Rhinolophus ferrumequinum: one gene and its partners. The main gene of each other region encodes a partner of the protein of the gene in region 2 in a complex. Links are inferred from orthologs where the notes say so. Each region holds a gene or a part of one and is shown on either strand. Other genes may lie near its edges. The genes, in order: STRAP, SNRPD3, PRPF3 and DHX16.

Region 1 (7,200 bases), on a different chromosome or scaffold from region 2:
ACACTGGAGAGGAAAAAGGGATTTACTCTTTCCTGTTTGCTTCTTGGTGACTTCCTACCTGTTTGAGCTACAATGGCCATTGAAGCAGCTAGTTTTATAGAAGAGTTAAATACGCACTCCCAATAAGTACAAAATAGAAGAACCTAGGAGTTGTGACTTTTTCTTGTACCAACCGATGGAGAGAGGGAGGGAAAGCCCTCAGCATTTAGGCCTTCAGATGGCCGCCACTTATTTCGAACTCTATTTCCTCAAACTCTAACGTTCCTCCTACAGACCTTGCTTAACCCTTCACCATCTAGGGGTCCCCACCTATTTTCTCAGGGAAATTCAACTTCTCCCAAGATAAGAAAGGAACCACATCATTGTGTATGGTAAATCACACAAGCTTTGTCCAGATGGTGATGGAGTTTTCCTTGGCCTGGGTTTTGCCAGAGAAACACAGGAATTTTTCAGTGACACCATGGGCTCTGGTTTTATGAGATAAAGATGGTGAGTGATATGATTCCAGATTGATCTCTCCATCACTGAGTGCTGCTGCCATTCTTCGCCTGATTAACGTAAGAACAAGGGCAACTCTCTTCCATGGGTATTAATTTTCTTCCCAACACAACATGACCTAGCATTATATGAGGAAGGTATAATCTTCATACTGATGTGACTTTGACTCTATTCTTTTGGGAAAAAAATAACACCTGAATTCCTGGATATGAATCTTTTGATTTTTTCCCCCGAGCATATCCATATTACTAGAACTATCACTTTAGTTTAGAATCACTCTTTATGAATCATTTAGGGAAAATGGTACCAGCTCTAATGGATTCTTTTCTGACAATGTAATATTTCCTCTCAGGCAAGTGTGGATGATGGGGTAGGGGGATCGCATTTTATCCCATCAAATTATCTGTATCTCTATCTCTACCTCTATCCACAAAACCATGACAGCTGATCTTTCTAGGGTAGAAGCAGAACCAAAAGTATTCATATTCAGTCTCCTGTCTTTGACTTGACATGTAATTTGAGATTTCTCACCCCACAAGAGGCTGATTTCATTTCAAAATCATAAACTAATACTCATTCTTCTAGCTAAAGTTCTAAATATATAGCCAAAACACTTTGTAATAACAGAGGAGAATCAAAAAGAATACACTGACACTGTTCTTATACAAGTAACAGACCAAATTAATGCAACTGTCACCATCTACTGATGAGTGACGTGGGATCTTTCCTTTAAAAAAGTATTGTTTTTAAACAAAATAAACATAAATGTAAATGACAAATAATTACTGAAAAAAGGTGAAATGTGTAAAAATTTCCTGACACTCTCTAAAAATATGAAAAGATGAACTCTATAACAAGAGACCAAAATAATATTAATAATAATAATAATAATAATAATAATAATGTGAAAACAAATGGAGATACAAAGACAGAGTTAAGGGAAAAAAACTGAATAAAAAAAATAAAAGCATGAATGTGTGAAAAAGAATATAAATGGAGCCACTACAAAACAGAGTTGGAGCCACCATCCCAGAGGAATTGCTTGCATGTCTTACTCCTCAAACCTTCGGAATGTTCGAAATGGGCAAAATAACCTTTGGACTGAGCCAAAGCAACACTGTATTCCAAATAAGTGTTTGCAAAACTAAAAGGAAAGTATACATCCTGATTACCACACTGAAAATTAAAAACATTTTTTAGAATTAGCACCACCATGTGTAGTTAAAGAATAACTTAGTATATGTGTACCTATACAAATTTCTTCCTGGACTTAACACCCATAGAAAATCTGTCCTTCTATTCATGTAATTACTGCCCCTCCTTTTGTCATAAATACCCTTGCTTTCCTTTTCTAATTGTAACACTGTTGCGATATCTGCCTGAATCACTGCTTCCCAGAATTGCAATTTTTTAATCTCAAATAAATGCTTCCTGCCTCTGTAACTTTTTAGGTTAATAAATATGAAAAGAACATTTGAAACAGTGAAAAATAATTGACTCACAACAGTTAAAAAAAAAAAAGTGGGAAAAACACCGAGTGCAGTAGGAAAGATGTAACTCAAAGGGAAGAAAGTAAATCAAAATAGGTAACTGTCTGAGACTTTGACACACTCAAATTATTTTCCTGGTCTTCCTGACATGGATGCCCAGCTAGATTATATTTTCCAAACCCTCTTGTGGCTATGTGTGGTCACTAGTCCCATATCTCACCAATGTAATGTGTTATTGAGTTAGGCAAGACATTTGCTTGGACAAGACTTTTTCAGATTTGCATTGTAGTCTGAGTCTCTTTCTATGCGATTCTCTTTTATTTCTCACCCTTTCACAAGTATCAGGCCAGCATTATGGCCTGAAGGCTCTCCCTGCCTACTTCACTCCCTTTTCCTTTCAGCACTCACTTGTACCCGACCTAATAGGAAATACTTTGTGTTTCATTATTAGGTGTGATGTTTCTTAGGATCTTCTATTAGGTCCCTCCTATTTCTAATATCTAGAAGTTTATCATGAATGGAGGTTGAATTCGATCTAAAACTTTTTACATATTAATATTTTTCTTTTAGTCTTCTAATGTGGTAACTATGTTAGTTGCATTAATCTGTCTTCTAATAGTAACTGACCTTTGAAGCCAGTTAATCATTATACATACTTTTAGAACTCAGAATCCAAATGAACAGGAACTATACATTCTTTAGAGCAAAGTAGTTATCAGTTATATGTTTACCTGCATACAATGAGCAATATATGGGCAATATTAATAGTTTACCAAATAGTTGTTTTAATTTGCGTTGTGTTTTTTATTTACCTCCATCAGTAACGCAGTTATTTACACAATCAGTAAACGAGCATTTGTTAAGGACACACTATCCATGAATAAATGCCATTCACTCTTCTGGTACTAGAGCACAAACATGACAAAGCCATAACCATTGCCATTAAAGAGCTCATAATTCAGGTGTGTGAATGGAGTATGTGTATGGGTGTGTTGTGTCTAAAATATCATGTAGAAACACATACAGTAAGTGTGGCACAATAAATGAACAAAATTGTGGAATTTAATTAAGGAATTAAATTCGGGAAGCACTTCAAGTCCCTATTCAAGTCATTGGACTTGAATCGTGAATGATACATGTTCAGCACAAAAAAGATGATGGTGGAGAAGGAAAGATTCACAGACGTTGGTACTAGTTGAATATTTATTGGTATGTGCCAGGACATTAAGGCCTTGGGGATAAAGCAGGGATAATTCACAAAAATCTCTATTTCCGGTTTAAATTATATCATCAATGGAAAGAAACACCATTCCCAAAGAAAGCAACTTTCCTGCTTAGGAAAGCTTTTGTATGAGCAATCAATCAACAGTTCTGGTTGATACACGGAGCAGCAATACTGAATCGGGCTGCCTGCAGGAAGACAGTACCAGAGTTCATTTATATTCAGTTTTTCCAGTCTTCTAATATTACTCTTTTGTTCGTTATAATGTATATGTAATTTACAGTTATCTGTATATCGGGAATGCAGGCTCAACTTTTATTAATGCGAATATTTCCTCAAAAAGGTTTGGGGACCACTGCTCTAGGGTACTCCGAATTCCTCAAAGGAAAAGTAATTGGAATTTAACTGTATTTAAAGCGACATAACACTCATGTCTAAGACACTAGCAATACAGGAATGTCACATAACAGAACGAGTGGCTGGGGAAATTACTTTTTTAAGGGCCTTACTTGTAGACAATCCCAGAGGAAGCTGCTTATACAGTTGTTACAAAAATTGAAAAAAAAGTTCTTAGACTTTGTTTGCAGGTTTGGCCGGCCGCCGTAAGGGGAGAAACTCGGGTTTTACTGTCCTTCTGTCCAGGTACCGACCACAGTCCCACTGGTGGTGTTGCTTGGTGCGTAACCCACGGGAGCCGGCTGGTCCACGGTCTCGGCGAAGCAGGGACACCTTTCGTACCCGGTGAACTCGACACGGCGATAACAAGGCCGTTTACGCCTGGTCAGAGCTCAGCGTGTGGGACTTTGCGAAAGCGCCTAGACTAGACCATCTCCAGGCGCCGTACGAAGCCGGCGCGGGGCGAGCATCACGTGCCCTACGTGCGCTGATCTCGCGCCTGCGCGCTGCTGTCCTACTGGCTCATTAGGGCTCTTCTACCCGGCAAACTCGCCTTCCCTCTGTATCATCACTTCCGGCGGACGCTGAGCGTCATTGGAATCGTCACTTCCTGCCGGTAGCGGTGTGGACGGTGCGGGCCGTGGCCGGGCTTCTCCGAGTCTCCCCTTCCCCTGTTTTCCTTCCTCCCTCCCTCTCCCTCTTTCTGCGGCTGTGGGTGGCCCGTCGCAGACTCCCTGACCCATCCCTAACCTTTTCCTAATTTCGGTGTCACTGGATTGGCCTCCTTTTTCTGTTTTCCGGTCCAGCCCCAGTGTCAGGGCGGGGGCCTTGAGGAGCCAGAGACGCTGCAACTGAGGAGAGAAAAGAAGGAGACGAGACCCCCGGCTCCCCAGCCCGCCAGCTTGGTTCGCCGCCGCCATGGCAATGAGGCAGACCCCGCTCACCTGCTCCGGCCACACGCGGCCTGTGGTTGATTTGGCTTTCAGTGGTATCACGCCTTATGGCTACTTCTTAATCAGCGCTTGTAAAGGTGAGCAGGGCTGCTGATCCTGGTTTCCAGACGTCTGGGACTGGGCCGAAACGGAATGGAGCCGGAACTCCACAGTGCCGGAGGGGTTGTGGGCATCTCAACCTTTGAGATGACGGTCAAAGAGTAGTGTTAGGGGTTCCGTAGCGGCAGCCAGAGGAAGCTTTTCTGACACCTCCGACAAGGCTAGGTATTGCCTCCAACTAAGGCTGCTCATTTTACTTTTATTGCTATTTCTGGAGAAGCAGAACTGTAAACTTGCCTAGACACCTTGGCCGCCAAACTGTAAATATCTTTCAAGGGTTTCGGCAATGGGGAAACGAGACCAGATGAAGGAATACTTTACCAAGACTTGTCCCTCATATTATGTCATTGGATATTCCGTTGTGGTATTAGCCCCATTTTTCAAATGGAGACTGAGATTTAAGTTAACAAGTTTGTCCAAAATAAGACTCGATTCTAGATTGTTCTGTTGCAATTCAGTATTCTAACCAAATTACAGATGCATCCCAGAGAGAATCTCTGGCTCAGTTCTTCAGTTAATTTATGAAGTTAGTTTAGTTGTACGCGTATGTAGTTACCTGTAATTTATTTCTGAACATTCCTTAGTGACCCCAGTGAAAATAGTTTAGACAACAAAAGCAATTTTTCCACTTGGTTATTCATCATGATTTTATGTTTGAATCATAGATTTTAAGTAATTTGAACTTATAAATCACAAGTCTTTTTAAATATTTTTTAGACGGTAAGCCTATGCTACGCCAGGGAGATACAGGAGACTGGATTGGAACATTTGTGGGTCATAAGGGTGCTGTTTGGGGTGCAACATTGAATAAGGATGCCACCAAAGCAGCTACAGCAGCTGCAGATTTCACAGCGTAAGTATAGCCAAAATGGCCAGCTTTGGGGATCTCTGTGGGTTGTGTTCTGAAATAATCAAACTTCAGCCTGTTATAAAATTCTAATTCAATGCATATGAATGTTTGTTCTCACCAAAATTGCACCGTGGTCCTGTCTGCTGCTTTCTCTTCAGTGGTTCTTAACAATTTTCAGAGACTTAAGTGATTTATTTAGCTTGTCTGGACCTGGGAATCTGCATTATTAACGAGCACTGCAGATAGTAAATGTTGGGGGTCATGTTTAGAAATATTGCTCCACCTGTGCTTCCTGAGTGATACCTATAAACTCCTATGACTTTCTCTTGCTAACGGCCCCAGACTTTTTAGCCTGATCTCACTCTCAGTTTTTGTTAACTGGCTTTAGACATATTTAAAACTTCCATCAATTGCTCTTCATTTTCTAAGTTTAAGTTCTTGATATTTCCCTTATATCCAGATTATCTTCGTATTTGTTGATTATACCATCTTAATGCCTCCTGACTACAATGTTTCTTACGCCTCTGCCACTGCCTTAGTTCAGGTCCCTGTCACTAGTCTCTGGTCTATTCATTTTCCATAGTGCTTCCAGTTGTCTTTCTAAAAACAAATTTCATTATGTCACTTCTTTATCTAGTGATCTTCCTGTCTTCCCTCTGCTATTTCAATGGTTCATGACCTTGGGTGTACATTAGAATAACCTGGGGATCTTTTAAAATACTCAGATGCATATGTCTCAGAATTTTTTATTTAATTAGTCTGGGGATGGAGTGCCCAGTATCAGTTTGGTTTCTTCCCCCGTAAAGTTGTCACAGGTGATTTTGATGTGCAGCTTTAGAACCACTGGCCTAAGGATTAAATTTCAGTTGTTGGCACTTTAAGATTCGGCCGCATCCTAGTTCATTAGCATCATCTGGTACTGCATACTATATGCCCTACAACCTAGCTATATTACCTATTTTGATTTTTGGTTTTTGCATATATGTTATTACAGTGACTTGCAATGACCCATTTTTCCCTTCTGGGCGTGTATCATTTTGTATAATCTTTGCATTTCCAGTTTCTAAGTGTATTTGTGACTTAGCAGATACTTAAATGTTTAAACTAATGAAGGCAATATCAAGATCTATTGTACTCGTTCGTATAAAATAGACTTTGTAAGACTTAAGAGTCAGGAGAGTAAAAGTGGTTTTGTTGGTTTTTTGTCTTTAAGACAGAATTTCACACTGAGGAGCAATTGTAAATGTTTTGCTCCTTTGTTTTGAACAAATTAACGTACCAAGTTTATTATGAAAAACAAAGGCAGAGTGATGGTGGTGGATACATGACTGCATTTGTTGAAACTCAAAGACTTCTATACTGCAGTGAATTTTACTGTATGCAAATTTTAAAAATGAAAATTTAAAATGAGAGGGAGATGTAGTGCTTACATGGGATTAAATTAGACATGGTAAGAGATCAGTAAGAAAAGTTGTGTTAGTCTAAACTTTTTTGTGTGTCATCGATGAGTAGATTGCTATTATGTCTTTAGGCATCACCACTATGAGGCTTGTGCTGAGCCCTGTTGCGATTGTACGTAATATTGATAAAATAGGGAAATGCTTGGTTTTATATAAGTTCATTTTATGTCAACAGACAGCTTTAGGTCATATGTTGCTTTAGATGTCAGCGTGCCTATAAGGTGACAGAGAC
Region 2 (7,016 bases):
TGACACCCATTCAGGACATGAAAAGCCTGCCCACATTGTTTCCTCACCTCAGGTCTCTGGGGCCTTTCTTGAACCCAAGACCAGCCGGTGCAGAGCCGTCCCGGGAGCCTGCCTGCCCCCCACTGCATGCCCCCAGCATGAGGGCCACGCATTAGCCCTGGAGGCCATCCTCGCCTTCCGACCTACTGGCCTCGTCTGGGCAGTGCCTTCTTAAAAGGAGTCCCGTGCTCCTACTCTCCTGTGTCTAAATCCGCCCCCGCCCTCACGGCCTGGCACAGATGCCACCACTTCGGGGCCATCTCTGAAAAAGCCACGCCCTTTCCTTCATCGGCACTCCGCCAGGCCTGAGTTCACACTTTGCCTCCCAGAGGGGACCCTGGCACCGAGCTTGTCTGTGCCCTTCTGGGCCGTTGTACATTCCTAAGAGGCAGTGACCTGTGGCGGCTCCTTTGCTGCATGGTACTGGTCTCTCTCTCCAGACTCCTCACCCTCAAGGGCACGCAGCAGCGTGGGAGGCAGGATGGCATGGGCGAGGGCAGGCCACCCACTGGCTGAGTCACCTGAGAGGCACCTGACTTCCCTGAGCCTGCTTCCGCCTTTATGAAATGCACCATCACAGACACCAGCCAGCAAGGTGGTGGGAGCGCTCAGGGCAAGGAGGTGTGTAGAGCCCTTTGTGGGTGCTGATGTGAACCCTGCCTCCATCCAGCTGGGAGGGGGCCCGGCACACTGAGTCCAGGCCTGGCTGAGGCTTTGTTCCCTCCTTCCCCCGACCCCAGGTGCCTTTAAAAGGAACCCAGGCACTTCATTCAAGGCCTTCACACATTCTCCTCCTCCCATTGCCATGGATTCAGTGCTGAGGGCTTACTCCCGCCTGACCTTTGCCTGTCTTCTCCAAATTCCACCTCAGCTCCTCTGCCATCTCTGTACACAGAAGCCAGAGGGATGCCATCCATAGCGTCCCACTGCTCTTAGGATAAAGTTCTCACAATTTACCATAGCCTGCAGGCCCTGCCCAAGCAGGACCTACCAGCCTCATCTTTGCCTTTACCCCTCATTTACCCTGTTCCTGTTACTCTGGGCACCCATCGAGCTTCATTCCACTCCAGGGCCTTTGCACATACAGCTCTCTCTACCTGGAACTCTCTTTCCCTTGCTGTTCTTAAGGCTTCCCCTGATGGTCATTTCGGTCTCAGCTCAAAGTCTCCTCTTCAGAAATGCTTTTTCTGGCTACATCTTCAGAGTGAGGGAGCCCGCCGTCACAGCATGCTGTTTGTTTCCCTCACAGTACTTAGCAAAAGTCAGTCAGTCGATCAGGCTCTTCTGTCTCCCCACTAGCCTGGAAGCTTCCTGAGGGCAGAGAATTTGCTAATCTCGTTCACTGGTATTCCCAGTGCCTGGTGTCTGATGCTTAGTAGTAATTCAACATTTGTTGGAAGAAATGAACTTGTTGAGCACCCACCGTGTGTTAGGATCTGGGGACACTGTGTGACTAAGATCCAAACCCTGCCCTCCAGGGATTCATACTCTAAAATAATTCCCCCCAATGGGCTGAGTGGAGGAGAGCTCTATGCAGGGTATTGTCCCCCCATGGTGGGGTGCCTCCCTTTTCAAGAATTCCCTGTGGACATAAACGGCCTTTGTGTTTTTCTCTACACAGGCTGTTTATTCCCCAGCCTTTCCTCTTATATATCCCTTAATTTGGAACGTTGTCTCCCATCTCTAAACGTCCGAATGCTCTGGTCCCTTTCCTTCTCTGAGACCCTCAATATGGATTATTTGAGGTGGTGTCCGTATTCCCCAGTGGACAAATGGAGAATTCTTCAGGGGTAGGTGGGGACAAGGTGGCATTTACCTCCTCCTAGCCCTCAGCCCAGAGCAGGCACCCAGACATGCTTGGTGACTGGAACATGCTTTTCCCCAAAGGCCTTATCCCTTGAGATGCCAGGGGCCTACCTGTCACCGCAATGCCCAGCACTCCCACCCCCAGGCTTCCAGACTACAGCCTGTTCATGGCTCCCTCCTTACTCTGTACCGCAGGCTCTGGTATGGACTAGCTGGGCTTTGAGTCTGTCTGTACTTTCTCCTATGCCCAGCTGTAAATGTGGCACAGGGCAGTTGCTCTGAGCTCTGCTGCCCCTTTTCTTCTTGCCCTGATCCTTTAAACTCCTTGATCCTGAGGTCCCGAAGAGCTGAACATCCCCTTGTGGCCGCCCCCAGTCTTGGCACCAGCAGGTCTGCCCATAGGGACCCACAGACACTCCTGTGGGGAATGATAAGAGTAGGCGAGGTCTTCCAAGCCCAAAGCTGCTACAAGATGTTGATGCCTGAAGCAAAGGGACTGTCCCACGTGAGAACTAGGGTCTGCCTAGAAGGCCCTGGCTGGCTTCAGTTGGCAGCTGTCACCAAGGAAGGAACGCAGCTCACTGGCCCTGAGTACTTAACCCCTCTCAGCCTCAGTCAGCTCATCCATAAAAGTGAAAATCACAAGGCAGCCTTCTTCATGGGGTGGTGATGAGGATTAACGAGGCACTGCATGTAAAACACAGCACAGTGCCTGCTAGAGAAAGCTCTCTGTGAAGGTGAGCCATTACTCCACTGACACTGAGGCTCAGGAAAAGCAAGCGCCTGGTCCGACATCACAGAGTTGGAGTAGGATGCAAATCCCAGGGTAGCATTAGACGGTACTCCTTGCTGCAAACGCAAGAGACCACTTCCTCGGGTGACACTGTGGTTCCACTGAGGCGTTAGTGTCAGGTTCCCACGCGCTCGCTCTTGTCCTCTCCCATGAGTTGGCAACTCACTTCAGAGTTTACTACGGTAGTACTACCACTACCACTGTCTCGTTCTCATCAACCCTGTGCCTTAAGCAGAGAAGAAATCACTCCTTTCCCCCTCCCCCACCTAGAGAAGCAAACTGAAGACCGTGACACTGAATGTCAGTCTTGGTTTCCACCCCAAAGGAACTCAGGCCACCTCGGCGCAGAAGGAACCAGAGGGTGAAGAACTGTACAGGACAAAACGCTGAGTCCGGGAGGCCAGGTAAGGGCCCTCCCATTGCTCTGTGCTCTCAGCAGTTCCTTGCGCTTCTAGGCCTTGGTTTCCCCAGGGGTCAGGATCTCCCAAGGCGACTCCAGCAGGACTTTTTGCTTCTGGGGAAGGTGGCGCCCCAGCCTCACACGCTGGGACCCTCCCCACCATGACCGCTACCAGAGCTGACTGGGGTCTCAGCCCTGGGAGTATCAGGAAACCCCAACTGACAGGGGCTGGAGGGTAGGGAACCAAGGCGGCTGCGTACACCTGGCCAAGTTTCGCTGGAAGCTCTATAGCCTCGCCGGAGGCGGCGGTCGGCCCAAGGTCGCGCGCGCGGCCGGACCCTGCCCCGCGCTGTGGAGGGGTGGGAGTACCCCTCGTTCCCGAGTGAGGGCTGGGCCCTCAGGGAGGCACTAACCGGGCTCGAGCGGCGACCCCGCTGCCTCCGCCTCCGTCCTCATGACCCGGGCGGCGCGGGGCGCCCATGGCCCCGGCCTGGCGCCGGCTGTAGCTTCGGCTGGGGCGGGAGTGGGACCGGAACGTGTAAGGCTCCTCCACCGCCACCTCCACCGCCAGCGCGGTGGGGAGAAGAAGAGGCGGTGGCAGAGCCTCCCCAAGCCCCGCCCCGGCCCCTCCAGGCCTCAGATCCTGGGACCCCGCCCCTTCCATAAGCTCCTCCCCTTCCCTGGGCCTCCAAAGAGGCCACCCCTTTCCCATCCCTCGTCCTATTACTAGAGGCCCCCCGCCTCCTGATCTAAGCCCGCCCGGGCCAGTCGCAGCCTTGGCTTTTGGTGACCCCGCCCCTTTCCCAGTTCTCGCGCAGACGCACAGGCCCTTCTCCGCCTCCGTTCCCGGGGAGCCCCGCCCCTCTCTGAGCCCCGCCCCGAAACCCTGTAGTCCAGCGAACATTGGCTCCCCAGAGGCTCTTCCCCTTAGCAAGCTCCACCTCTACTCACACCCGCTTCTTTGTCAGCCTCAGGTCCAAGGCCTGGTCCTGTGGCATAAATCGTTGGGCTTCGGGAGACCTAACCCTACTCCGAATCCCTGGGCCGGCACCCCCTCTTCTCTATACCTCAGTTTCCCTATCCGTATGGTGAAATTCGTCGCCTTGCTCAGGTCGCACTTACCTGGCAGTGCCGGGTTCCAAAGGTTAAATTGTGAGGGGAGATCCTAGCCTTCGGCCCTACCGCCTGCTGCCCCCGATCCGACGGCCCAGACCCTAGATCTCCGCCCTTGGATCCAGCCCGTCCCTGGTGGGGGGTGCTTGGAACCGCGAGTTCCCCTCTTCCCTTGACGGGCTGAAGGTCGGTATTTCGGGTGGCACCTGGGCCCCATCATCAACCCTCTTTTCTGGGGCCGGAACGATCGTACCAGAGCCCACGTTTCCTAGCCGGCGGGGTGAGGAGGAGGCGGAGGCGAGATCGCTCTCACCACTAGGAAAAGGAAGGGGTCGGGTTCTGCGCGCGGCATTTTGGGAACGCATGGTATTCTGGGAGAGCGGAATCCGCCATTCGCTCGCCTCACGCCGTCGGAGTCGCCTGAGACACCGCAGCCGCGCGGGAAAGGAAGAGGAGACCGGAACCGGTGAGGAAAGGCCAGGGGCAGGCGAGGGTAGGCCGAGACACCCGTGAGGGGCCGGGGGCTGGAGGACGCACAGCCATGGAGCTCTGCGTGGCTCGGGGAGGGAGAAGAGCGGGAAGCCTGGGCCACCCAAACATCAGCGTCGCCTCACTAGCGCCTGGAAGTGAGTTTATTAGCTTTTCCCCAAAGTACATGCTCTTCATTTTCTATACCTCTCCAGGTCTGTTTTTCGAAGTGTGCAGGCAATAGTCTTGAAATCATTTCTGACTGATTGCCTCCATCCTCCATTCAGGCGCTGGTGCCCCGTGCTTTCCACACTGGTACAGAAGTTTTATCACGTTCCCCTGCTTCTTAACTGTGTTTGATCCATTTTATAAGTGCTGCTACCTTTTTGTTGGATTATTCCTTACATATAATCTTGCAGTGGTCCTTCGCTGTTTTCAGCCTAAAATCCACACTCCTAAGGCTCCTCTCCAAGGGAGCCGGCGTGTTTTTCCCAACCTCGTGTTCCTTTTCCTTTCTTGAACACACATGGTGCTTTCCAGCCTTTAGTCGTTGTTCATTTTGGAGTTAAAAAACCCTTCACTTGTCTCGTTCAATTAGGTCAAGCCAGGCGCTTGCCCTGATTGTTTCTCTTCCAATAAAAGCATTTCCTGCTTCTAGCACATTGTCACTCTGTGAACACTTTGATATTTTCTCTTTAGCCTTGATGGTGAAGTGGAGGGTCAAAGGGCATAGAATGGGTTAAATTAAATACACAACCTCTTCCAGATTTGCCTGCATCCTTTGGTCTATATGAGCAGTGCTTAGTAATACTGTATATATGTATGCCCAACACTAGCCACATGTGGCCATTGAGCACTTGAAATGTTGCTAATATGACTGAGGGACTGAGTTTTTTAAATTTTATTTCATTTTAATTAAGTTTAATTTAAATGGCTACATGTGGACAGTGATTGCTGTCTTGGACAGCTCGGGTTTATATCATGGGTTCTCAAAATGGTGTCACCTACAGCTCTGGGTTGACAAATACATTGTAAGGTAATGCATGCCACCCCCCTTGCCCCCAAACACACAGAATTGATTGATGGTTATTTGGTGAAGATAAAGGGACATAGGATAGCAGGGAGGAAGATGGAAGGTACTTTTCATTCCCATTAGATTTCCCTCTACCCGGGCTTCCATTCCTCCCCACCCCACATGTTCCATGTATTTTTTCAGATAGGTACCTCAAGCTAGATGTTAAGCTTTTTTTGTAGAAAATGCAGCTGAGACATCTTTGCTAAGTTTTATGGAGTGTCAGGCCTTAAGGGAGGCATGGTATGTGCCACATGCCTTCTCAGGCCCTGAAAGATGAACTAACTGTTGTCTCTCCCACTGTAGAACTCTCTTCCTGCCAAGATGTCTATTGGTGTGCCGATTAAAGTTCTACATGAGGCGGAGGGTCACATTGTGACGTGTGAGACAAACACTGGTGAGGTGTACCGTGGGAAGCTCATTGAGGCGGAAGACAACATGAACTGCCAGGTATCCTGCTTTGTACATGAGACTGGAGAAAGCTTGTGTCTCTGTCTTGCGGGACAGAAAGATGGTGACTGGAGGTCTTTTTGAAGTTCTCATTGAACAGTTCCTTACTGAGTGCCTAATGTGTGCCAGAGACTGGTATAGGTGCGGGCATATGGGCATGAATAAGAGCCATTCAGAAGTTTGGAATATTTAACTTTGTCCTTTGTCCCATATTTGGGGGACTGTTTAAGAGAAGTGGCACTGCTCCCTTTGTTGGAATCCTTCAGGTTCAGACCATTATCCATTTGCCCCCACATATTTGCATAATGCTTTGCAGTTAGCAAAATCTTACACTCACATAATGTGCTTATTTGCCAGTTTTCTTGAGGGGAAGAATTTCATTTGATTATAGCAACTACCTTTCGAGGTAAATGGGTTTGGTGGGAGTTTTGTCATCCATAAAATAGGGAGAATAAGATTAAAGGACTCATCTAGTGAATGTCACCCTGCTAATAAATGTTGGAGCAGCTTCCTGATGTGGTGTTCTTCCCGTGGCACTACTTTGCTTTTAATAATCACAAGAATCTGTATAACATTACAAAGTGTATCCGCACACTTTCTCCTTTGTTCTTTAAACCATCAGTTAAGAGCTTGGGCTTTGGAATCATGTTGGTTTGAATCCTGATTATACGACCATAGCCATGTTAATCACCTCAGTTTCCTCATCAGTAAAATGGGAATAGTGTTACTTTGGGTCCTCTGTGATGTAGATGCCAAAACTGAGGAGAGTAGCATGGGGCAGAAATGGCCTGGCTCTAGTACCCCCGCTGTGGCCAGTCATTGGCTGGCAGCCTGCGGAGAGAGTGGCCTCGGGGTGTATGTATGCTGTAGTGGAT
Region 3 (7,225 bases), on a different chromosome or scaffold from region 2:
GCTCTGAGAAACCCAGCACCCTTTTCACTGTCTTCTCTATCCATGGTTTCAGCTCATCCAGCTCCCTCTTAGATAGTGCCATTCTTCAGGAAAAGGAAGGTAAGTCAAATGGGATTTAGTACTGCACCTAAAAAGAAACCAGGAAAGAATTAAGTTAGAGGACAGGAAAAGACTAAAGTGATTCCAGTCAATGCTTATTACATTACAAATGTCTTCCCCACCTCTATTCTCAATCTTTAGTCGAGCTGCTCCTCTTCATTTCAAGTCAAATACTTTCCCTAAAACCTATACTTCAAAGCAGAAATACATTCCATTTGATTCCCCCCTCTTCTTCTCCCTTGTCCCCGCCACACTCCGATTCAAGCCGTTGTTTCTCAGTCTAGTTGTGTAGGACACAGCTCCCTGGCCCATGCTGCTGTTATGAGCCTTGCGCTCCCCCCGGCTGAGGCAGTCAGTCGCCAGTTGTCAGTTGGCCGCTCACAGCAGCTCACAGCAGCTCTTGCCAGCTGCTGGCCTCTCATGATGTCTTCCAGCCACTCACGCTGACCACCGGCCGCTCATGACAGCACATGGTAGCCCACGGCAGCTCGCGCTGGCTGCCGGTCACTAGCGCTGGCCACTCATGGCAGCACATGGTAGCCCGCGACAGCATACAGCAGCCCACAGTAGCACATGGCAGCTTGTATTGGCTGCCGGCTGCTAATGGCGGCACACAGTAGCCCGTGGCAGCACACAGAAGCCCACGGCAGCTCATGCCAACCTCCAGCAGCTCACAGCAGCCCAGCTCCAGCCCAGCTCCAGGGAAAGCTGTTGTTCACAATCTTAGCTGTAGAGGGTGAAGCTTGCTGGCCCATGTGGGAATCGAACCGGCAAACCCGGCGTTAAGAGCACAGCGCTCCAACCACCTGAGCCACTGGGCCGGCCTCCCCCATTAGATTTCTAAGCCTGACTCACTATCAGTGAGTCAATGAAACTTGTGGAATAAACAGATAAAACCCGGGAATGGCCTAGTCTGAGCAATGAGTTCTGGCTCCTTTTTTGATCCTGTTGTATCAACAGGACTGGCAAACATATGAGTATAATATGGAAACAAGACTGAAAAAGCCCAGCCAGAGGCAGCTTTTCTATTCTTAATTCTAGGCAGGCATTCCTTAACTCAGCCGTAACCTACAGGTTTCCTTACTTTTAAGGGATGCAGATAGAGGAAGGCTTATTCAGGTCAGTCATCCTGTATCAAAGCTCGTATCCTTAAGAATGTTCTATTTCTCTGTAGTCATATGCAAGCTAGTGGGGATTCTGTACCCAGACAATTTTCTCTCATGTTCTACAGGGTCTTTGTCAGTTGACTTGGGTAAGGTAATCCCCCAGCTCAGAAAAGAATACCCCCATTTTGGATGTTCTGCCTTTTCACCTTTATTTTTCTACTTTTTACACTATCATACAAGATTCTATAACAAATCCTTAATTTGTCATTTAACACAAGTTAGTACAATTCTTAAACAATAGTCACATTTACATTTTGATCTCCTACCTAAATTTCAAAACCCATGAGCATAGAGAAAATTGTATTTCCCCTATTTTCACCATAGTGCCTAAAAGTCAATAAACCGCACTGAATTCAATTTCCCAGATAACCTCCTCCCAGCAGGGCCACATATCAGGGTCTGATGTAGGAGTCAAGCTCTCAGGCCGTTTTTAAGGCATCTTTTCTCCTAAAAGACACGGTCTGATTAACTTCTACATTCTTGGCAGGGACGTCCCTTATAAGACCTGTTGCTAAACGGTGTTATTAAATTTGGGTATAACCGTATGAAACTAGTAGATTGAAGTCATGAAATTAGGAGTGATAGATTTCCTGCCTCAGTGACACATTATGTGAATACTTCTAGGTGGTTCTATTCACCCATCATGAGACAGCAGTATAACCTCTCAATCTCCTATATATTAAATGTGCATTGCTTAAAAGCAGCATATTCAGATACCACAGTCAATAAAGAGCTCACACTGAAGAGTTGCAACACGGAGCTTTACCATTTACCAGCGTTTGGGCAAGTAATTCCTCTGAGCCTCAGTTTACTCATCTTGGTACTTAATTCATTCAACGAATATTTATTGAGTAACTACTAAGTGTCAAGCAGCATAGTGGGTGCTGAGAATACGTACACCAGTGAACAAAACAGACAAGAATCTTCGTCTTAACGGGGCTTATGTTCCACTAGAATTGAATCACAGGCTAGAAAGTGTAAGCAATTTGAAAATCCAAAGCGATACACGAGGAACCGGTCTATTAGATTAAATGTGTGCCCAACACTAAACTAACAAATGTATTCAAGTGCAACCCAATCCTTCCTAAGAGAATGTGCAAACTAAACAGCCCGTGGGCCAAAATGAAAGTTTCCAACAGTAACTAGCTTTGTCACTAATCAAATGTTGGACAGTAACTGCGTGGGGCGGGTGTGTGTTATGGCGTGGGGAGGCAGGCAGAAGGATCTCTGAATGGGGAGGGTGCAGACTCCAATCTTCTGAAGGATTTCCGTGCTCTTCTTTGCAACACCCCGACTGACCCACCCCCACCCCACCCCCAAACCTCCATTCTTCTCTCTCTGCTCTCCCCGGCCGGCCCTGAGCCCACCTTGTTCTCCCCAAACTCCTCGTCTCAGAGCTAGTCTCCGCACCCCGTCCCCTTCCCGCCCCCGCCCTTTTCCTCTCAACAATCTCATTCCAACCCCTTCTCCCGCAGAACCTTGTTCTCCTCTCAGCTGCCTTCCCGCTGAACCTTCCAGCCTCGGTCCCCCTCTTGGACTGAGCCCCGGCCCCAGGCGCTCCGACCCGAGGCCACCCTCTTTGGGCCCGGGGCCACTACTCACCTCACAAACTTCAGCCCCTGAGACGGAGCCCGAACGTTACACCGGAACCGGAAACCCTCCGACCGCCCTACGGCCTGCCGTCGTTACCGCCACTGCCGCCGCCACGCCACGGTCCTCCACACGTGACGGGGAGGGCCGGGCCACCGACGCGCGCAGCCGTAGTAGCCACTTTCCTGGCGGCGGGGCGCATGCGTGGCGGAGCCCTAAAGTTGCCCCGTGCAAGCTCCCCACGGCTTCCTTTTCCCCAGCTAAATCTCCTAACTGGATTACTGCAAGGTTAATGTTGCCTGAAACAGAAATCGGGCTGCTTGCAATATTCCTAGTGTGGCGAGTCAGTGCGCTGAAGTTACGCTAGAACTAAAAGCGGGGCTTATGAGTTCAGGCTAAACGTGGCCTTTCGTGTGTTATAAAGTCAATCCTCAGTAAGAGTCGAGATCACATTAGCCACGTCTCCCTAACCTTTCTCCTTCAGTAAATTAACAGTGGTGCCAGAGACCGACGCAGAAAATAGACGTGTATGGGAGGACTCTGAAGATAGCAACTCTCCCCCACCCTCCTCTTGTCTCATTCGTTAATTGAATATTTATTGACTGCCTACTAGTATGCACCAGGCATCCTCTTCTGAGAATCAATACTGCTTCATGGTTAAGAGCAGGGGCTTGAAAGCCGGATTGCTTAGATCTGTATTCCAGTTCTCCCACCCATTATTTATACATTAGGCAAATTGCTTAAGCCCTGTTACCTCACCTATAAAAAAAATCCACCTCAGAGGGCTGCTGTGAGGACCACAAGTGACCGAAGGTAAATGCGTTTAAAACAGCTGCTTCTGAGTTCAATAAAGCTACCTGATAGGTAACAATATATACACCACAAGGGGGCAATGTTTGAACACTAGCAATTTGGAGAGGTAGGGGGCCAGGCTGTCTGCTCAGTTTACTTCCTTTTTAAACATTATGCTGAGGGCTGCAGCCTGGGTGAGGAGAGGTGGGCTAGCTGCTTCCGCCTACCCTCTTCCGTTCTCCTCTGGGGGTTGGCATCAACACTCCTTATATCAGCAGCATGGCTTTCAGGGGACCAAGGCCAGAGGAAGCACACAGCAGGAAAGGAAGCAGAGCAGCTGGTTCCTCCCACAGTCAGATGCCCCCAGCTGTCAAGAATCACAGACCCAGGAGTGCCTGTTGAGAGGTAGGGTTGGCGCTGGGGACCTCAGCCTGGAATCTCTTTTAAGTACTATTATAGGGCAGTGATCCTCAGACTTCAGCAAGCATCAGAATCACTTGCAGGGTTTGTGAAAATAGATTACTGGGCTCCAACCCCAATTTCCAATTCACATAGTCTAAAATAGGGGCCCAGAATTTGCATTTCAAACAATTTCTCAGGTGATCTTCATACTGCAGATCTGAAGAGCACACTTTGACCTAAGAGCACAATCTCAGAACTGCTGCTCTAGGTATTTCAGGCTCTGTGTCCTCCGGTCTCTTAACACTCTATTTCCTCTTTTCTACCATCCATCTACCGCTTTATTTCTTCTCCACCATCCCTCCATTAGCCTCCTTTAGGAAAAACAGAAAACAGGAGTGAATGTTAGATTTGTCTTAAGGATTCCTTTGGACAAGGATTCCAGCACTCTAGTCTGGTTGATGGGAGTTTCTGAAGAATTTATTCCAGATATACACATGCTTCCTCTCCTTTTATTTAACAGTTGAGGGCAGTGCAAGTAAAGAGTAACATGCTTTCCCAATGATAAGATCTTGCTTTGTGTTTCATAGAAATTGGGTAAGAAATGGTAGATATATTCTACAACATTTTAGAAAATGTCCTCAGCTTTCCTAGACTATTTAAAAACAATCATAGTAAAATATACATAAAACTTACCATTTTAATCATTTAAAGTGTACAATTCAGTGGCATTAAGTACATTCACATTGTTATGCAACTATCACCACCACCCATCTCCAGAACTTTTCCATCTTGCCAAACTCATGCTGTACCCATTAAATAGTAATTCCTCATTCCCCTCCACCCCCACTCAGCTCGTGGCAATCACCATTCTACTCCAAGACTATTTTTTGGCACAGTTTCTCTTTCACTTAATAACTGACTAGTGGGACTGCTTCTATATATGCAGGCCTTCTTATATATCCGTGATTGAGCTTATTGCAAGAAAGATAAAATGGGGTTGGAGAAAGAAAAGAGGTGGAGACACCATTGGACAGGGGTTTTCATACTGGGCCCACTACCCACAGGCCTCAGCAGCCCTGCCATGGATCCGCCCGATTCTTTCGCATCAGAAAGTTGATCTTGCGAGTCATTTCCATGTTGTAGATGCGCCGGCAGGTTTCATAGCTTTCCCTCTGTCGCCGGCGGCAAGGCTTCTCGTAGTACCGTCGTCGCTTGATGTCCTCAATGAGCCCATCCATGCTGAGGATTCTGTACAAAGAACGGCAATGAAGTTAGAAGGTGGGGCTCATTATTATTCTTTTCCAATTTCACAGATGGCCAGAAGTCAACTGACCAAACACTTGGGGTCTGTAAAAATTATGGTGTGAAATGGTGGCAATATAGTATTAACTGTCTCCTTATGGAGGCCCCATATAGGAATCTGTGGGGAATAAAAAAGCAATCATCTACATAGTCCTTGCTCTTGGGGAGTTTACACTCAGGATCATGTTCTCAACCTTTGTTCTACCACAGCACACCTGAGGGATATGACAGTCTCATAAGAACAGTGGTTCCCTATGGCAGTGATTCTCAAGCAACGGGTCATTTCAGAATTTTCACATGGGGTGACTCTTAACAGTAGCAAAAAAAAAAAAAAAAAAGTCACTAGGAGTGATTCTGATATGGTCCTTAGTAGAGAATATAGTTCCATCCCTATTGTGTTTAAAAACTGATACAGCTGAAGTCGGCAGATCTGAGAAATCTCTGGGCCTACTTAGTACAGGAAAGAAGAGGCCCTTATCACACCGGTGACACAAATGGGGACGTTAAGATAACAGCCTCACCCACAATTTTTCCATGTGCCACCTGCTCCACCACACTACTTGGCTGACTACTCCCTGAACACACTCTAACACGTCTGCTCACGCTGCTTCCTCAGCCTGGAATGCCACCTTCAACCACTGGCTGCCAACCTTCTGACTGAAATTTTCCTCATCTTTTTGATGCCAAACCCCAATGCCACCTCTCCACAAAGCTTTCTCATCTTCTTTAGAGAAAATATTTTATTAAACACCTATTTAGCAATTATTTCATTCTGCCATTCCATTAGCTAGTTTTACAAACATCTCCCTCATTAGACGGAAAATCCTCGAAGGCAGAGACCATGTTTTATTAACCTTTAAATGTCCATAAAACTGAGTTCAATGTGTTTTTTTCCTGCCCACCCAATTTCTTGCAATGCAGCTTCTCTTGTTGGATTTATAACACACCGAACTCAAACTCCCCTTTTTGTTTTGAGTGAGCCAAGAAGACAAGGGGCTTATTCTCCAATCTACCTAATAACTCATAGGCTCCTGAGAGCTCTGGCTCCAACCTGCAATTTGTCTCTCCCTCTCCACCCACCATCACTTGATCCTGAGGAGGTTTGGAGGCACCTGCCGCTACTGTCCTCCATTCCTGGCATTGTTTACATGGCCCCATTCCTGCTTACCCTGTCCTTTCATTACATGTAAAAAGTAAGTCACAAACACAATTGGAGACAAGGAGATTGAGCCACGGCTATTGTAATTGGAAGAAGGGGGACACAGGAAGAAGGAAATAATAAGAGACATCACCAGCTACTTCTGCCCAGCGGGAAATCTTATTTATTGCTGCTATGTATGTTACATCACAAAGCCCAAGATAACAACAGATTGAACATTAACTTGAAAAGATTTCAGCTTTGGGTAAATTACAAATGTGAATAGACATGGGAACCACTGTACCTATGGGATCCTCTCCCAGCCTCCTGCTGTTTAATATCGAGAATGATTTGTAGGCTACTAGAGAAATCATATGTGTATAGATCAGTTTGTCTAGGTTTTTGTGGCAGGGAGATGGGAGGCAAGGGACTGGCTGCCGACTCCCGGAAGCAGGAGAGGTCGCTCATTCAGGTTCTGTTGAAAACAGTCATGCCCAGAAGTCATGTGGATTCAACACTAGAGTCTTACAATAGAGAAGTAGGGCACCAAAGATGAAAAGACTGAGTCTCTTGGCCCACACAGGGTCTCCTTTGCTGACTTTCTTCCTCGATTTACCCTTCCATGTTGGTATTCCTCCAGATTCTGACTGTAAACCTCCGTTTCTGGTTCGACATGATTTCCTTAACCCTTACCAGTGAGCCTCAACCCTGATGCACAATGGAACCATCTCCTAAA
Region 4 (7,191 bases), on a different chromosome or scaffold from region 2:
TGGCTGGACATCAAATTATTTAATCCACCTAGAGTTTATTGTGAGAGTAATTGAACTTTAAGAATGCCTGGCACACAATATGAGCTAAATGAGTATGGCTGCCATGACTGGTAGTAACAGGCACTCAAGATGTGGAAGATGTTATAAGACTTCCTTATGACAACTGGCCTTCAGTTCCGCGAGTGGGGTGGGGAGGCAGGGAGCAGAGGACCTCACTCATTCTCTGTCATCATTGTCTCCTTTCCCACAGATGAGTCCTGCCGGAGGTGACCCCCTTCCAACACAGGCATATACCTCCCTCCTTCCCAGAACTGAAGATCCTGGAGCCCAGATGGTTCAGAACAGACAACCCTGAAAATGAGCCTGGCAGGGAAACTCAATCAACATCTTCCAACTTGCTTTCCTCATCCTATTTCTGGGGGCAGACCCAACTGCCTAAATCCACCCTCACCCAAGGTCCCTGGTGTGAATGCATCAGGCATGCTCAAGCATCCTAGGTGAGCCAAGAGTGAGCTCCAAGTCCCAGGGAGCACAGAGCTTCCTGAGGTGCAGATGGAGCACCCCCTCCACCTCCTTGGGCCCAGCACACTCTCCCTACAGCCTTCCTTGAATTCCCCCCACCCCAGGGCTCTCAAGATTTAAGCACTCCTGTCCCTGGGAGGCCTGGCCCCCACTCCTCTTACAGGCTCCTCTCCCTGCTGCTCCTTAGGTCACTGCCCCTTTGTTTACAGCTCCCAGCCCCCCACCCCCCAAAGTCCCAGGTTTACAAGCTAGGTTTACTATTTGCCTTGCTAAGTCCATATGGAGTCCTGTCCCCTATCCCTTGCAGTCGGCTCATTGGGAGTGACCTGGGGCTGTGGCTTCCTCCACTTTTGCTCAGTATTACTGTGCCTCAGTTTTTCCCCAAAAGGGAAGGCTGGGAATATTAACTCTGTACCCCCATCTGGTTATTTAATTCTGTTCCTCCTATTCAGTTCACAAATGAATTGAATTGCAAGGGTGCAGGGTGACTAATAAGGCACCTCAATTTTCCCTCATTCTTCCTTGTCAATTGCCTGTTGTTGTTTTTTTTTAAGACGAAAACAATTTTCCATAATAAAATGTAGCCTTAAAGACTTTCCCGCTGTTTCTCCTTCCCCCCTCTTTCTTCCGCCCCCCACTCCCCACTCCGGTTCAAGCCGTTGTTTCTCAGTCTAGTTGTGTAGGACACAGCTCCCTGGCCCATGCTGGTATTAGGAGACTTGCACTGCCCTCAGCTGAGGCAGTCGGTCAGCTGCTGTGTGCCGGGTGACACCCTCCCTGTCACCCCCACCCCCAGCAGCAGCTCACACCAACCTCCTGGCTGCTCAGGGCAGCCCAGCTCCAGGAAGAGCTGTTGTTCACAATCTTAGCTGTAGAGGGCGCAGCTCACTGGCCCATGTGGGAATGGAACCAGCTGCCTTCCGCGTTGCGTTAGGAGCAGGGCGCTCCAACCGCCTGAGCCACCCGGCCGGCCTGTTTCTCCTTTAGAAAAGAAAAAGGTATATGTGTGGGGAGGCTGTGCCGCATTCCCAGTCTGCCATCTTCCTATTGGCCAGGAAAAGGAAGTGGCCATGGCTGTGTGTGGAAAAAATAATGGGGTTGAACCAGGAAATCAGCATTGACATGTAGAAAGGGCTTTGAGAGAGCCCTGCACTGGTTTCTCAAAGGACTTATTTGAGGAAGAGCAGTTGAAGTATCCACTAGACTGCAAGTGCTATGAGGGCAGACTATGTTGGTTGGGTTTATCCCCATGCCGGCACCTAGTAGACGAGAGAGAGAGAGAGAGAGAGAGAGAGAGAGAGAGAGAGAGAGAGAGAGAGAGAGAGAGAGGATGTCTAGAATGAATGATTGAACAAATAAATGAATAGATGAAAAGAGACAAAATATTGGAAGCAGAATTGAAGGATTCCAGTATTCAGAAGCCTACTGCAGTGCAAGCAGACAGGTAGTGTATGATATTGGCTCATCCAGGGGCGTTTACTCCAGGATTCTGGACCATTAAATAATAAATCTCTTGTTGTGAAACACAGTGTATGTACAGAAGTGCAGTTTCCTGGGAAAGGGTCTCCTCTGATAGAGAATAGGTTTTATATTCTTAAAGGTTTAAGAGCCATTGCTATTTCATGGCTTTGTTGCTTAAGTAAAATTGATACTGGGAGATTTTCCCACTTCAAAGAATTTGTATCTTCTACAAATGTGAAGGATCTATATTTTACTTACCAAGTCAGTTTTTTTAGTTCTCCAGGCTAGTAAAGATATGGTTGAGTAGCTATAGTCCTACAGTATGCTTCTCTCAGCCCCAGTCAGAGGAGACTCCTCCTTACTAAGAACAAAGTGTATTAGACAAATTGGTCTTAAACATACGCCAAAAGTATTTAATTTACTAGCAAAGGAACAAGCAAGGTGTCAAAAGAATGAGCTGGTTCAGAGGCTATGCGCATGGAAGGAAACAATGCTTACATTAATAGCTAATTAGGTAAAAATCCTAATCTGTTGTGACCCCAGGAAGTAGAGGCAGGAAGACCAGATATGCCAGGGGTGCTCATGGTCCATCTCAGAAACAGAAAACAATGCATCTAAGAAGTAAGGAGTTATCTGTGGCTGTTAATTGGAACAACAATATTTCTTGTTTCAACAACAGTGTAAGTCCAATTAATCATAAAAGTATGAAACAGAGTCAAGTAACAAGTTTCGCTTATTTTTATTTTATTATTTTTAATTAGTTTTTATTAGTTTCAGGTGTACAGAGCAACATAGTAGTTAGACATTTACACCTCTCACAGAGTGATAACCCCCATCCCCCAAGCTACTACCCCTTTGACATTTTATACCATTGACTATCTTATGTTATACTCCACCTCCCGTGGAGTATAATGTATGTATTTTTTTCCTTATAGTTGACATACAATATTAGTCTACTTCAGCTTCAGGTGTACAGCGCAGTGGTCAGGCATCTACACAGTCTATGAAGTTGTCATGCAGGGTGTCATGCGGGGTCTCAGTTCCTGCTCCCTGCATGAGAACGCAGGACATGGTGAGGCCAAAAAGGAACACCAACGGAGCCGTAGGTAGGGGAGTCATACCACTGTATCCTCGCTGGCAGCTGGGTTGGAGACACAGGAAGCGGGAGCCACATGATCTGCAACCTGCCGTCCGTTTCTCTGTCAACCAACCTCACTTGCTAACTGCAATCTGTGCTTGTTATCTTAGCCACGGCAGTTATGTCAGTGGCCAATGGCTAACTGGTTACAGCTGACAGCCAACTAGTCACAGTTGATGGCCATTTACTACCCGAGCCAGCACCTTTCCACATGAGGCCAAGAGCCTGGAAACTGCTCTCCGGGACTCTGTCCCCACAGAAGTGATCCCCTTGATAAGTCCAGTGCCCACCTGGCACCTTACATAATCTTTACAACATTGTTGATTATATTCCCCATTCTGTATTTCATACCCCATGACTATACTGTGTTTACTAATTTGTTCTTTCTAATCCCTTCACCTTCTCCCCCATCCCTTCCCCTCTCCCATCTAACAACCAACAGTTTTTCTGCTTATTTTAAAATAAGGAGTCACCAGTGAATTTCTCACACTATTAGCAAAAATGCAGAAAACAATTTGCACATGCCTTAGTTTGGAGAGATCTTTTAAAATTACTTTCTGAGACAGCATCGAGAAAAGCACGTTCTTTTTCCCCCCAGATCCCAACTTTCTTCCTGCCTGGAGGTCCTCACTTATGCCTAACCTGCATTCACTCTTGCTGCACTTATTGCTCCTAGCAAAGGTTACTCTGAATCAGTATGGGCTTATCTTTAATGAGCATGGACTTGATCTTCTGATTTGAAATAGAACCCCCATACATTCATCTTGCATTAATTTTGGCTCCATAGAACTTACATGGTTTATTTATTATGTATCTTCCCTCCTCCCCGTCAAACGTAAATTTGGTGAGGGTTTTTGTTTTGTTCTTTGTTCTATCCCCAGCGACTAAAATTGTGTCTAGCACACATTAGGCGTTCAGCATTGTGAATGAATGAATGAAGCAGCCAGAGGCTGACTATCAGGGGCGACAGAGAGACACGGTACGGCGGAAGTGAAATTATTTCCTCCGAGCCACAGATAAGGTTTCGCGAGGTTTGAACTCGCTCGGCCACCGTAGTGCTTACGTCGGAAAAGTGCGGCCGTTTCCGGCCTCCCCGGCCGGGGAAGACAGCTTTGGGCTGTCGGAAACCGAACCCTAACGTCTTAAGGTGGCTCCTTTGCGGAGCTGAGGCTCCAGCCCGGGCCTTCAGGTCTCCGACCCGCCCGGCAGACGGCGCGGCTGTTCGAGACCCTTCAGGGCCGGAAACCGGGAGCGCGGGTCGCCATGGCGACACCGGCGGGGCTGGAGCGCTGGGTGCAGGACGAGCTGCACTCGGTGCTGGGGCTAAGCGAGCGGCACGTGGCCCAGTTCCTGATCGGCACCGCGCAGCGCTGCGGCTCAGCGGAGGAGTTCGTGCAGCGCCTGCGAGACACAGATACCCTGGACCTCAGCGGGCCGGCCCGGGACTTCGCCCTGAGACTCTGGAACAAGGTGTCTGGAAGGGAGGGGCCCGCCGTGGGAGCGGCGGGAGAGGGGGTGGAGCAGGGGAAGGGCTCTAGGTTATTTTTCCAGGTGAGGCTGGGCTAACGGTCCATCCGGGAATTAAGTCATAGGCTCAGTTCACAGCATTTGTCCTCTGTCCGCTGTCGCGCGGGTACTGCGCTACGTACTGGACGTCCAGCTCAGTGGAGAAGACCGAGGAGGGCTTAAATGTGTTCGGTTAAGTGTTATAGAGCAGTGTTTCTCGAACTTGAGCATGTATACGACTCATCCAGGGCCCTTGTTGAAGTACAGATTCCGATTTTGTAGGTCTGGGAGTGGATCTTAGTTTCTGCATTTCTAACGAATCTTAACACGTTTCCAGCTGATGCTGATGGTCCAGGGACCACTCTTTGAATAGTGAGGCTGTAGAAGAGAGGCTGTAGAAGGAAGTGTTGTGGGAGTATGGTAGGTGGGGGTAGTGATCAGGAAAAGCACGTCCAAGGATTCCCTGGAGTTGTCAGGTAGAGAAGGGGTAAGGAGTGAGCTCCTGGAAGACAGGACTGTATTTCTTGTCTTTGTGCTCCTACCACCTAATCGAGTGCCTTACAGGACAGGTGCTCAGAAAGTTTATAGTAAGAGTGAAAGTGTTCAACATGTTCAGAGAATGGCACGTAGCTTGGGGTGGTTGTCCCATATGGTACTTGGCAAGAGATGGGGTTAGAATGTAAGTGATACGAGGGTGAGGATTTTATGTTAATCTGTCACCAGAGTATTCTGGAGTCTGGTACAGTGCCAGGCCTGTGACAGGCCTCTGCAGAGCAATCCTTCTAGTGTGTCTACAAAAGGACTGACTTAATCATTGGGAAGAGCACAGGCTAAGCAATTGAGAATTGGGTTTGAAAATGTAAACTCCATGAGGGCAGGGATTTTTCTCTTTCATTTATTTCTGTATCCCTAGCTCTTAGCAAGTACCTGGTGCCTGGGACAGGCGTTAATAAGTGTTTGTTAAATGAATAACTGACAGGAAGTTCAGAAGCTCAGAGGCCCCTTTTAGGCGGAACATGGTGTGAAGCCATGGGGAAGAGTGAAGGAAGGCTGGTTTCAGATCAAGTCATTCCTTAAATTGGGAACAGGGCAAAGTAGGTATGAAGAGATCAGGAGTTGCTCCCCTCCCCTTACCTGTCTCTGTTGACAGGTACCACGGAAGGCAGTGGCAGAAAAGCCAGCTCGGGCAGCCGAGCGGGAGGCCCGAGCCCTGCTAGAGAAGAACCGATCTTATAAGTTGCTGGAAGACAGTGAGGAGAGCAGTGAGGAGACTGTGGGTAGGGCTGGGAGTAGTCTCCAGAAGAAACGTAAAAAACGGAAACACCTCCGGAAGAAACGCCAGGAGGAGGAGGAAGAAGAGGAGGAAGAGGTTTCTGAGAAAGGGAAGAGGAACAGAGGGTAAGTCAGAAGCAGGGTGAGAGAGGATGGGGCAGGTGGATGACAGGATGATAAACCTTCTGGATGCCCTTATTTAATCCTCCCTCTGGGCTGCAGGGAGAGCAAACAGCAGACAGAGAAGCCGGAATCCGAGGATGAGTGGGAGCGGACAGAGCGAGAGCGCCTTCAGGACCTGGAGGAACGTGATGCCTTCGCCGAGCGGGTTCGGCAGCGGGACAAGGACCGGACTCGCAATGTCCTGGAGCGGTCAGACAAGAAGGTGCATAGGAGCTGCGCATTCTGTCATCCCCAGGATGATCCCTGGGTCAAACAGGGTGGGCGTGATGCAGAGGGAGTGATTTCTGGGGAAACAGGAGATGCCTCCAGTGGTATGCTCACCTCTGGTGAGAGAACCCCTCTGGGTCCTCTGGCTACGGCAGCCCTCTGCTAGAGAGATTCCTCACCGAGAAGGGACATTTCTTTGTGCTAGGGGACATCCGAATGATCCTTATAATTCTAGAGGGGGAATGGCTCTGGCTGTGGGTGCTTTGGCCTCACATCCCTCCTCTCTTGCTTTCTTCTCCTAGGCTTATGAAGAGGCTCAGAAGCGCCTCAAGATGGCTGAGGAAGACCGGAAAGCCATGGTGAGTCCCAGTGCCCAGGAAGCCAAGAGCAGAAAACAAAAGGAAAGACTTTCTGGTGGCATGGTTAGAGGGAGGGAGAAAGGATACAAAGGAAGTGTGGTGGGGGAGCTGTTGGGGCTCGGGTCTCTGGAGGAGGCGCTGGGTTGACAGGACTCTGCTGAAGGTGGACTGGAGTTAGAGGGGAAGGGAGCTACTCGCAAATCCTCCTTGACTCTTTTGGATCAAATCATACTGTATGTTAGTGAGAGAAATGTGATACTTAACCAGATGTAATCAGAAGTAGCTGGAAGGTCAAGGGGTTGGCTGGCGGGCAAGGGCAGGGCTGCTGTCCCACTGCCCAGGTTTATGCTGACTGTTCAGCTTCGGGGCCCACCATGTCCTAGTGCCTTCCTACCACCCAGTCCCTCCATCCCCATGTGGCCTTGTGATCTCCCTCCATTTTCCTGGATGGGTCTTGTCACTGCACAGGAGCAGAGCCCTTGTAATTGGTGAGCTGGACCTGTTCTGATGTGTCTACGTAGGGTAGGCAATTCTCCAAAGGCC

Evidence for each region.
Region 1: SNRPD3 (region 2) and STRAP share a complex: the UniProt entries of both Homo sapiens proteins name them as parts of the SMN-Sm complex. The link is inferred for Rhinolophus ferrumequinum from reciprocal best matches to the Homo sapiens genes SNRPD3 and STRAP.
Region 3: SNRPD3 (region 2) and PRPF3 share a complex: the UniProt entries of both Homo sapiens proteins name them as parts of the U4/U6-U5 tri-snRNP complex. The link is inferred for Rhinolophus ferrumequinum from reciprocal best matches to the Homo sapiens genes SNRPD3 and PRPF3.
Region 4: SNRPD3 (region 2) and DHX16 share a complex: the UniProt entries of both Homo sapiens proteins name them as parts of the minor spliceosome. The link is inferred for Rhinolophus ferrumequinum from reciprocal best matches to the Homo sapiens genes SNRPD3 and DHX16.

The regions. Positions count from the first base shown.
Region 1 is NC_046293.1:29,904,946-29,912,145, forward strand, and holds the start of STRAP (serine-threonine kinase receptor-associated protein), read left to right. Parts: upstream 1-4,199; 5' UTR 4,200-4,524; coding exon 4,525-4,636; intron 4,637-5,375; coding exon 5,376-5,511; intron 5,512-7,200. UniProt on the Homo sapiens protein: The SMN complex catalyzes the assembly of small nuclear ribonucleoproteins (snRNPs), the building blocks of the spliceosome, and thereby plays an important role in the splicing of cellular pre-mRNAs.
Region 2 is NC_046308.1:22,251,260-22,258,275, forward strand, and holds the start of SNRPD3 (small nuclear ribonucleoprotein Sm D3), read left to right. Parts: upstream 1-3,996; 5' UTR 3,997-4,617; intron 4,618-5,997; 5' UTR 5,998-6,015; coding exon 6,016-6,141; intron 6,142-7,016. Other genes in the region: protein GUCD1, read right to left, coding at 3,452-3,494. UniProt on the Homo sapiens protein: Plays a role in pre-mRNA splicing as a core component of the spliceosomal U1, U2, U4 and U5 small nuclear ribonucleoproteins (snRNPs), the building blocks of the spliceosome.
Region 3 is NC_046305.1:50,663,173-50,670,397, reverse strand, and holds the start of PRPF3 (U4/U6 small nuclear ribonucleoprotein Prp3), read right to left. Parts: upstream 3,001-7,225; 5' UTR 2,868-3,000; intron 2,824-2,867; exon of another isoform or gene 2,744-2,823; intron 128-2,743; 5' UTR 83-127; coding exon 1-82. Other genes in the region: MRPS21 (28S ribosomal protein S21, mitochondrial), read right to left, coding at 5,117-5,297. UniProt on the Homo sapiens protein: Plays a role in pre-mRNA splicing as component of the U4/U6-U5 tri-snRNP complex that is involved in spliceosome assembly, and as component of the precatalytic spliceosome (spliceosome B complex).
Region 4 is NC_046286.1:1,279,219-1,286,409, reverse strand, and holds the start of DHX16 (pre-mRNA-splicing factor ATP-dependent RNA helicase DHX16), read left to right. Parts: upstream 1-4,187; 5' UTR 4,188-4,384; coding exon 4,385-4,591; intron 4,592-5,777; coding exon 5,778-6,025; intron 6,026-6,121; coding exon 6,122-6,284; intron 6,285-6,591; coding exon 6,592-6,648; intron 6,649-7,191. Other genes in the region: PPP1R18 (phostensin), read left to right, coding at 251-270. UniProt on the Homo sapiens protein: Required for pre-mRNA splicing as a component of the spliceosome. Contributes to pre-mRNA splicing after spliceosome formation and prior to the first transesterification reaction.